Linked DNA regions of Drosophila melanogaster. The protein of the gene in region 1 purifies or fractionates together with the protein of each later gene. This does not show direct contact. Each region holds a gene or a part of one and is shown on either strand. Other genes may lie near its edges.

Region 1 (7,218 bases):
CTGTGGTTCATCGTCTATACAAGGCACAATAATTTCCGGCTGCAGTCGCATTTCTTTCGAAATCTTAATGGTCTTGAAGCGATCGCGATCCCGCTCTCTTCGCTCCGGCAGCTTATAGCTTGCCGGATCAATCTCTGCTGTCACCTGGGACTTTGGAGGCTCTTCCGCTGGTTCGGGATCAGGATCTGGTGCAGGCTGCTCCACTTGTGGCATATCTCTACGCTGGACGATGAATGAGGCAGAGTTGGTGCTGGTCGAACTTCCATTACTGCCGTGCATTGCACTAAGGTTGACATCGTCGTAGAGACGACTTCGGCGACTGAGCAGCCGTTCGCCACCACCGCCGCTGCTGTTGCTGCTGGAGTGGCTCTGATTTAGAACTGGGGTGTCCACCTTTTCGGCTGCCGACTGCTGCAATTCCTCTTCACGCTCCTCTGCCTCCGCCTCATCTCTATGGAAGCGCCGTTTGATGGTATCTAGCGACTTTTGCATCTTCAGTTGCTCCTCGTTTAGGGTATTCACCTTGCCCAGCTCGGCAAGCATATTCTCGAATTGCTCTTCGTCGCCCTGCTGGGCCAGCATCTCCACTTCCGCCTCAGCCAAGTCCATGACGCATTGCATCTGCCTGTGCTGTTCAGACATTTGCAGGTTGTAAGTGCCATCCAGCGGCTGTTCGATCTGCTCCAAGAGCTCCATAGTGTCCAGCACGAACTTCTCGCCGTTGAACGGAGCTGTTTTTGCCACGGGCTCAAAGGTGTTGTTTAATCGCCCTGGTGCGGTTCCAGTTGGTTTTTGCGGTGTTGCGCCAACAATTGGGGACAGGTTCATATCTCCCCTTCCCTTTAGGGTAGGGGTATATCCTGCCTTGTTATTATTGTTGTTATTGTGGTAGCAGTGTGAGCGCATGTTTGTTGTAAGTGGTGTGGAGGATTCCATGGTGAGCAAGGCCAGCTTCCTGTCAATATTTTCAGGCGTTTCACAGCGGCCCTCAGGAGTGTTGCAACCGTCGGTGAAGGTAGTATTCATCTGCCTACCTGTTAGCACCTGGGTTTCGTCCGCTGTAGTAGCACTCGCAGTGGGTCTTTTGAATGTCGCATTTCCATCGACTGGCAGAGACTCAGACTCTGATTGCAGCGCAGAAGTTGTAAGGCTATCCACGAGGTTAAAAGTTGTGTCGCCGATCATCTCCTCCCCTAAAATCATGGTACGCTGTAGGGCAGGACAAACTGCCGATACCACAACGGGCATCGTTCGATCTGCGGCCAGGGGAATGGACATACTGTCTGTGCTGTTGTCCATTGTGCTGCAGCCGGAAGCAGTTTTGCTCAGTGTCAACGATATTTCGTCAATTTGCCCGATGTGCGAGTCTTTGATAAGAGTCCCATCGTCCTCACACATGGTCAGCGACTCCAGCGCCTTGCGATCCCGGATCATGTCACTGAGCGTATATCCGCCTATGCTGCCGCCGATTCCCATGTTATCAGTTGTCTGGTTGGTAAGCGTAGTGGTAAGGTTTGGATCCTGCTCAAGACCAATTGTGGATTGAAGGAAGTTCAAGTTCGTAAAGTCTGCTGAGGTGATTAGCGAGTTGTTCATCCGTTCAGTGTTCATGGAGGAGCAGATGGAAGACGGCGGTGAGGTGTCTTGCAGGAAGGATTTGTGCATATTCGTCGTGACAAGACCGCCAATTTCCAGCTGAAGCATTGCTGGGGCACCCGCGACCGACCCGGTTCCAACACCGCTGTCATTTCCCGCTCCATTTTGGCTCTGAAAAAATAAGATACTTTAATATACAAATTAGTTGCAATTGCTTATTTGTACTTACGAAATCCAGATTCCGACGCTTTGGGCGAGTAAAGGTTTTCGAATTGTTTTTGAAGGCTTTCGTAAAATATAAAAGTTTAAAAATAAATTAGATCCTTGAGTTCTGCACTCGTTAAAGTAATGAATAGTAATGTATGGTGTCTTAACCGATAGGTGCAAGGTTTCTAAAAGCTATTTGTTTGAATTGTTTAATTTTTTTTGTTCATATTTAAAGGTCATCGCATCCAAACAGGATGTCATCATCAATGTCCAAGTCAAAGTTATTCTCATCGGCCACTAAAATATCCTCCATTTCATAGTCCAAACAATTTTGCCCGGTAGTCAATGGACCAATGGCTACTAATGGTGGCATATCGTTGAAGTTCTCACTGGGAAGATGGTCCACCTGGGAAAGGCTCATTTTCTGCACTGCCTTATTAAGAGGATTCAGCTCTTTTCCTGATAGGGGTCTAGAAATTTGGACATCCTCTTTAGACTTTCTGTCTAAAACTGTCACTGCAGGTTTATTTATTTTTTCTACCGACGGGTCGGTATTTATCATATTAGTTTCTGGTTTAAATTTAATGGTTTTTTTCGGGTCCGGCATAGTCGAAGTTATGCACAGCATGTCGTTGGTTATCAACCAGCCGGGGCTATTGGAAGTCTGCAATACGAATGTGCGCTGAAAGCGTCGTGGTTCCAGAGTATCCGATGATATCTCCTTAAAGTATCCCGTCAACGTAAAGATGCGTAGACTCGAAGTGAACACCTGGATGTCTAGCCCGACATTCTCTAAGTCTGTATGCATCAAAGGCAAGCGGCTTAAAGCGAGAAGTAGCGCAGCTCTACCCACTTGCAGCTTGGCGTTTTGTGCAAACGAGGAATGCTGGCGCTTCTGGTTTCTGTTGTACAGCTTGTAGCCGTAGACATAATTTAGTTGTACCGGCACGCTAAGCGAGAACATGGCTTGGTCGTCGTAATACTTCTTAAGTTTGAAACGCTCTTCGGTATCGTCAAAGAAAGTGTAGTATGAACTTATGAAGTCCTGGCAAAACTTTAAACCATTAGTCCCACCGCCTTGAAGTTGTTGAGACTTCGGAATATTATCAACAGCTTCTGTACTTTCCCCCAACTGCACACAGCCATGAACATTTTTCAACTGTGGTAGCATTTTTCGAATGACGTCCACGCTTAGCTTGGCCAAACCGTTTCCTGCCAAGAAGATCGTCTTGCAACTCAGTTTGTTGATGTAATTGAGTTCTCCCAAATCTTGAATCCTGTTTGCGCTTATGTCCAACCGCTCTAGGCTGGCAAAACTTTGGGAATTTCCCGCAAACGCTTTCAGGGAACACAAATAATTGTTGCTCAGTACTAGGCTGGTCACATGGGGAAATAAATGGTTTGAAAGAACTAGCACTGTTTCTAGCAGCTTGACCATATGCAGCGGACAAAAGTGCAGAGACAACTCCGGACTGGCGTGGAACCTGGAGAGATCTAAGGTGCGTGAATCCACCTCATAGCGTGATCTAAGGGCCTCCTGAATGGCAGTTGTAAATTCGTCTGTTATCTGGGCACACATCATCGATTTGGGCAGACCGGGTGTGACACGCACCTCGATTTTCTGGCACGTGTTAATAACTGCTACTTCCTCTTGCAAGCGTTTTAGGCGATTTGCGCTTAACAGGTTGTCCAACAGAAATTGTCCACGTGCCATATTATCTTCCGGTCCACTTCGCTTGAAGTTGAATATCTCCACCTTAATGGGCATCATCACCCACTTCAGTGCCACAAAAATTGAAGAATTGGAAACGCCGGCGCAGTTGGCGATGTTCACCGTGGACCATCCGGTCACAGTGGCCACGCGGTGGTCCTCTTCGGTGGAAGAGATCGTGTCCAGCACGGATCCCATTTGTTGCTCATTTCCAATCAGCTCTTGTACATATTCTCGAATTTTACTTTTTTCATTTAGATTTTTTCGCAAATCGTCAAGTGGCGACTGCGAATTCACGTGCTTTTTGAAGTTTTGGATCAAGCGGCTGTCCGGCTCGTGGGATTTGAAAGTGGCAAATATTTGCATCGCAAAGTTTTCAGGAAACTAGTAAAATTACAAAATCTTTTGAGGAAATAAACCCAGTAATTAAATTCCGTGCACACTACTAGCAATCTCCGGGAGTTTACAATTTTTTTAGTGTTAGTAAAGATCCAAAGGACGCTTCGCAAAAGCGATGTGTTCAGCACACTATTTGATATTTTACCGTTAAGTTAGCATTTAGCTATTTTTTAACTTACTGGATAAACGCCCTGAAGCTTTCATATATAATTATAAGTAATTGTTGTTTGTTAACGTAATTTTCTTACTTCCACTTCTACTATTGTTATCGCTTAAAAGAATATTTTGTATATATTATTTAAGCTATTTAAAATATTTATCTATGCTGAGTTTAACCATTGCATACATTTACAGGAATGACTATTAAGTATGAACTTTGTTGTAAATAGTTTTATTTAACTTATATTTTTAGCAATATTTGGAATTCTGGCATTCCACTTTGGAAAATCATTAAAAATAGCTCAGCATGACAATATTTCACTCAAATTAAATCGCCTAATCGATTTTTGATCCTCGTCTTTAGTTCGGTGGTAATTGTTTATTTAATTGTACGCAAATAGTTTATTTGCGTATTGCTTGATTGACTTTCGCTGGCTGGGCAGGAAGTAAATTGGATTTATATAATAATGTTTGCGTATAATGCGAGATTCTTGCCATATTAGCATAGCCAGTTTTTTTCCTTCAATATTATTGCCGTACCACGCACAGCTGTTTGCAATGGGAACGCGTGTGTGTGTGTGCGTATTGAGACTTGATTAATTACCGTAACAATAACATTGGCGCTGTTGCCAATTATGGCAATCGGCCACTTTGAAAGACAACGGTAACTACTGGCCAAGTAATGCTGCCCACATGCGACTTGAACTTTGTCAACGTAGCCGCCAGTTTAACCCAAATTTGATTTAGAAAGCGCAACTGCATGATGTGCTGCACATGTGTGTATGTTTGTGATCGGGTGCATCGGTATGTGTGGAAAAGGCTTACCCTCGTTGTTGTACTGCAAGTGCAATTGCTGCAACGGCGGCTGATTGTTCGTCTTCCACTGCTGCAATATGTTGGAGACATCGTCGTGGGTCTTATCCGCCAGAAATCTGCCAAGGAGTACCAGGCATATGAGTATTTATAGCATCGATGCCTCTGCCTGTGAAGTGCCAGCAGCAGTAGCAGCAGCTGCAGCAGCAACAACAACAGGAACAAAAACAACAGGAGTGGTTTCACTCACATATATGAATCATCCTTTAGTGCCTCATCGATGTCCAGGATATCCATGTCCAGCGATGGGTAAAACTTTATGCCTAGCTTAATAACACTTGATGAAGACCTAAATCATTGCCAGAAACGACAACAAAAAGGCCTTCGCTCGCTTGTCTGTTTGGCCAATACAAGATACTAATTTTGCTCAAAGCTGATAGAGATGAGCGATATCCGCGATTCCGTGGCGAGTCACTGGTATTTTTAAGCCGATGAGTCAATCTTGTGACTGTGAAAGCGAAAGTGAAAGTAATTATTGCAGCTGTTGGCAAAGTTAGCAAATTTCAACTTAAATATGAAGATAAATATTAAAATGATAACCTTTAATACCTAAATCATTGCATGCACGCTTGTTAAAGATTATATGTTAATTAAACGTTTTTATAATACAGACTGATTTGTAACTTTACTTGATTTGTAAATTATTTATTAAAATTAAAATTATCTCTAATATTCTTATTTTCATTGTTAATGCCTTTAATATAGATTTACATACATTTTGATTTAAATATGATTGGAATCCTACCTATCGACACCATTGTTTTGAATGCCGCAGATTTGTTCCCAGTCACAGTTAACCTCACGACGTTAATGGAGATGGCATATGAAACCTTATCGACTATCGAGTAATCATCGGATGCAGCTGACAACTCTGTGCGAATACGTTCACATTGACTACTTGGCAGGAGAGCAAGTGCCCAACATTTGTTGATTCTTTTGAAATTCCGGCCTCTATGGTTGGGAGATCATCGGGAAAAATGGAAAGATCAGTGGACGCCAGCATGGGAAAGAACTGCCGAGCCTGCGCCGAACACTCATCCATACTGGTGGACCTTTTCTCCAAGGAGATCTCTGATCCCCCCATTTGGGAAATGTTGAACTCAATTCTGCCGGAGATCTGTCGCGTGAAACGGGATGAAATGCCACAAAAGATCTGTCCTACCTGCCTGGTGGCCGCTCAAAATGCCTTTCACTTCCGTCACAAGTGTGAGCAGAGTTTTCAGTTCTTTTCCCAGCTCCTCCAGCTCGATAAATCAAACTCAAATCTGAGTAGATCCCATTGCAGAAGAGGTACTATGAACCCATTAATACCCTTCGAGATAGTTGGTTGCGAGGATCCATTGGACACAAATGTAACCAAATTGGACGCTAATCGGCCTGATGTAAAAACTGATATCGATGAGCCAACCGATGGAAAGGCAACTAATGGTCAGGAGAGTGAACCATTGCAAGAAGTTTTTGAAAGTAGGTCTATTCGATGTCATCCACTTTCACAAGAACTTCCATTGTACTGCTAAAATCTATTCTAGACTTGCCCGTTATATGCTAAAATTTAAATTTATTTTTTAGTAACAATGAACGATATTAAAACGGAAGATGAAGTATCCATTCAGGAGACATTTGAAGATGCCTTTGATGAAGAAAATGATAATAACAATACTGATAGCGAAAGGGAGGATTCAGACCAATGGACAGTGGGCTCGACTGAAGACCAAGATGAACCCTGGATTCCCGGCGGCGGAGGGCGCCAAACGGTTGGCGGCAATAATCAATCGCTTCTGTGCACAGAGTGTGGAGTGAGTTACTCGACTCAAAAGGCGTTGGCAAGGCACGTTGCCAAGCACAAGGAGCAAGGTGATACACAAAAGCCGCACCTCTGCGATTTCTGCGGTCGGGGATTTCGTACCAATGCCCAGCTAACGACCCATAGACGCCGTCATACTGGAGAGCGTCCTTTTAAATGCCCCCTCTGCCCGAAAGCTTATACGCACGGTCCGACTCTGAAGTCGCATATGCACACCCACGACGAGGAAAAGGGTCACAAATGTCCACAGTGCGACAAAACCTTTTACACGAGAGGCAATCTTAGGGCCCATATACAGAGGCACACTGGCGAACGACCCTATAAGTGTCCCGACTGCCCACAAACCTTTGCCAAAAACTCTGGCCTTAAGTTGCATAGCCGTCTGCACAAGGAAGAGCGACCCTTTAAATGTGAGCTCTGCGGCAAGGGATTCGTACAGAACCAGCATTTGATTACCCATTTGCGGGTC
Region 2 (3,152 bases), on another chromosome or scaffold:
GCTGGGTTCAAGGTGGTCATGTATCAGAAAGTAATAGTAATAGTATCATTTATATAATTGATGGTCAACGTGGATAAGCTGGATTAGGATTAATGTAGACTTACTATATAAACTTACTATTTTGGCCTTCATTCATTATTTTATTTTACCTTCTCGAAGGTGTACATTGCGGAAACGGCGGAACCCAATCTGCGGAGTCTGCTGATCGGCGCGCCCTATGTGGCCTACTCAAGCGGCATCCTAATGGTCTACTCCCTGGGCTCCATGATGTACTGGCGTAGTGTTGCGTGGTGCGCCAACGTGCTGCCCCTGCTGTCCATGGTGTCTATCTCGTTTATACCGGAGACTCCGGCCTGGCTACTCCGCAATGGCCACGAGAAGCGTGCGCTGCAGGCCCTCTCGTTCCTGCGGGGCAGCGAGATCAGTGCGCAGAAGGAGCTGAATGATATGAAGCAGAGGCTGGCCAAGGAGCGGGTGACCACCAAGACGAACGAGAACATCTTCCAGCTGTGCTGCCAGCGCGTGGCCATCAAGCCGCTGGTCATTGTGATCGTGTTCTCGCTGCTGCAGATGTTCTCCGGCACGTTCATCGTGATCTTCTATGCCGTGGACATGATCTCGGAGTTCGGAGCGGAGTTCGACTCCAAGCAGGCGGCCATTGCGACGGCAGTTGTCCGGGTGATCTGCTGCATGGTCTTCTGCGTAGTCCTGATCTTCGTTCGCCGCCGCAGGATCATGATAGTGTCGGGAATCGGCTCCGGCTTGTTCTGCCTGGTGCTCAGTGTCTATCAGTATGCCAGATTCGATCAACCGAAAATGTCGTACGACGTATTCGTTGGTGCCGGCTGTCTCTTGGGCTACATCATCTTCAACACGGCTCTGATGGTGATGCCCGGCATTATGATCGGCGAGCTCTTCCCGGCTAGGATACGCGGACGGACTGCCGGCGGAGTGTTTGCCTCCATGAACGTCGCTCTGTTCATCTTCGCGAAGAAGTTTCCCGCTTTGCAGGCCATGCTCAAGATGCGCGGCGTGTTCCTGGTCTTCGGCGTGTCCAGTTTCCTGCTCACTGCCTTTATGTGCCTTTTCCAGCCGGAGACGAAGGGCCGCAGCCTGGAGCACATCGAGGACTATTTCAACGGGGACAACTGGCTCTGGTTCCGGCGGGATCGAGGCTACAAGACGGTCAACCTGCAGCCCCTGGAGCCATTGAAGGACACCCGGGGGCTGGAGGCCTAGGTCGGGGGGCTTTAGTCTTAAAACAGGTCTTAGCTTAGCTAGTTTTAGCCATACTCATAGTTCTAGCCGCAGTGCCTCGTAGTCGCCCTAGACTCGCTCGATTTTCCAGTGACCCCCAATGGGCCACTCCGACAGGGAATCTTCAAATGTTAGGTTACCAATTCAAATTGTGATCGCTATGCTTTAAATTGTGTCTAATTGTTAATTAAAATTATGATTAGAAATAAACAACTTGAAAAATAAAAGTCATCATTTGTTTTTCGGGCAATTTGCAGAAAATGTTTGCAATAAACTTGTTTTTAAGTGTTTGAACATCTTGACTTTTTTAAACTTTAAATAAATATTAAGGGTACTCACGTAGATTAGTAGCGTTTTTGTATTTCAAATGGTGGTAGTAATATTTTTGTTTCTTTCTTTCTGGAGAGTTTTTTTCTGACCACCCGAGGACGGTCACTCTAATTCGAGAATCGCGGGAAACATGGACAGCGTGAGTTGAAAATATTTAGTTTTTTAGCAATTTAGCATAGCAACTATTTGTTTAAAGGATTTGAAAGCCAAGGTCGAGAGCTGCGCCCGTACGGCGGATACCTTCACACGCCTGTACTACGCCTCCGTGGACAACCGACGCCAAGTAAGTAGAGATCCGCCTTGAAAGTCTGCATTTCATGGGAAAACGAAACTCAAATAGATTCCACCTGCAGCAAATTGGACGCCTCTATTTGGACAATGCTACGCTTAGCTGGAATGGAAACGGGGCCATCGGCCGCCAGATGATCGAGAGCTACTTTCAGGAGCTGCCATCCTCAAACCACCAGTTGAACACCCTGGACGCGCAGCCTATTGTGGATCAGGCTGTGTCCAACCAGCTGGCCTACCTCATCATGGCCAGCGGCTCCGTCAAGTTCGCAGATCAGCAGTTACGCAAATTTCAGCAGACTTTCATCGTTACCGCCGAGAATGATAAATGGAAGGTCGTCTCCGATTGCTACCGAATGCAGGAGGTCTGAGATCCACACACTTGTATTTTAAGCTAAGCTAAAGTTCTTACGTCGTAACGAGTTTATTAACATATCTAAGCTCTTATAAATAGATTGACTTCCTATTTGTCCGCCTCTGTCTTGGGCTTCTTGGTGGCCGGCTCGTCGGCGGGTAGTTTTTCGGAGAAGATGGCCTTTGGCTGCGTCTGCTTGTAGGCCGGTGCTATCCAGTAAGGATTCTCGGCTGCGTCCTTGGCATACTTCAAGATGGCTTCCCTGGGATCCTGGTCGTCGTCCACCCGCTTGCTCAGGCCCAGATTGCGGATGACATAGGAGGAGAGGGTGCCGCCGGAGCTGGCCACGCGGCCGCCCTGACCGCTGGTGATGGGCAAGTCCGGTCGCTGGGACTTGACAGGATCCATACGGGCCTTCTCCATCCGCTTACGCGAGGTACGGGACTTTTCCTGCCTGAACAATGGCAGGGCGTGCGGCGTAATGATCTGGGAGACTCCCACCATCTCCATGGGCTGCCTCTTGCGATGCGTCTTCACTACGCACAGCTTGGCGCCCCGGATGCTGCGGTGCTCATCGTAATAGCACTTAATGGTTCCATTGCCACAGCTCACGAACAGTTGGTTGAGCTTTGGGTGCCACAGCGTTTTCACCACGTGCGCGTTGGACACGGGAATCCGCTGCACTTCCTCGTAGCTCTTAGTGCTGTAGAAATACAGGTTCGCTTCGGCCTGGCCCTTCGGAAGCGATTCTCCGGTGACTAGCAGACGGTCATCTGGACTAAAGCAGCAATCTGTTGTGTCGTAGCGGGAGAACAGGTTTGTCCAGGTATGCAGCGGCTGTTTGAACTGCCGCAGATCCCAAAGCTTCATGGTCTCGTCGTTGCTGCGAGTGGCCAACTGCTGACCCATGTACGAGAACACA

The links.
Region 2: the proteins of Nxf3 (region 1) and Nxt1 purify together in Drosophila melanogaster (affinity purification with western blotting; 2 studies listed by BioGRID, with this or other methods). This does not show direct contact.

What each region holds. Positions count from the first base shown.
Region 1 is NT_037436.4:13,963,310-13,970,527, reverse strand, and holds the start of Nxf3 (nuclear export factor 3), read right to left. Parts: upstream 5,326-7,218; 5' UTR 5,183-5,325; coding exon of another isoform or gene 5,136-5,182; intron 5,005-5,135; coding exon of another isoform or gene 4,898-5,004; 5' UTR 3,881-4,897; coding exon 2,033-3,880; 3' UTR 1,882-2,032; coding exon of another isoform or gene 1,826-1,881; intron 1,768-1,825; coding exon of another isoform or gene 1-1,767. Other genes in the region: ssp2 (short spindle 2), read right to left, coding at 1-1,767, 1,826-1,881, 4,898-5,004, 5,136-5,182; Meics (meiotic central spindle), read left to right, coding at 5,899-6,409, 6,515-7,218.
Region 2 is NT_033778.4:23,810,513-23,813,664, reverse strand, and holds Nxt1 (NTF2-related export protein 1), read left to right. Parts: upstream 1-1,690; 5' UTR 1,691-1,717; coding exon 1,718-1,726; intron 1,727-1,783; coding exon 1,784-1,870; intron 1,871-1,927; coding exon of another isoform or gene 1,928-1,940; coding exon 1,941-2,246; 3' UTR 2,247-2,338; downstream 2,339-3,152. Other genes in the region: pippin, read left to right, coding at 160-1,239; CG5543 (uncharacterized protein), read right to left, coding at 2,339-3,152.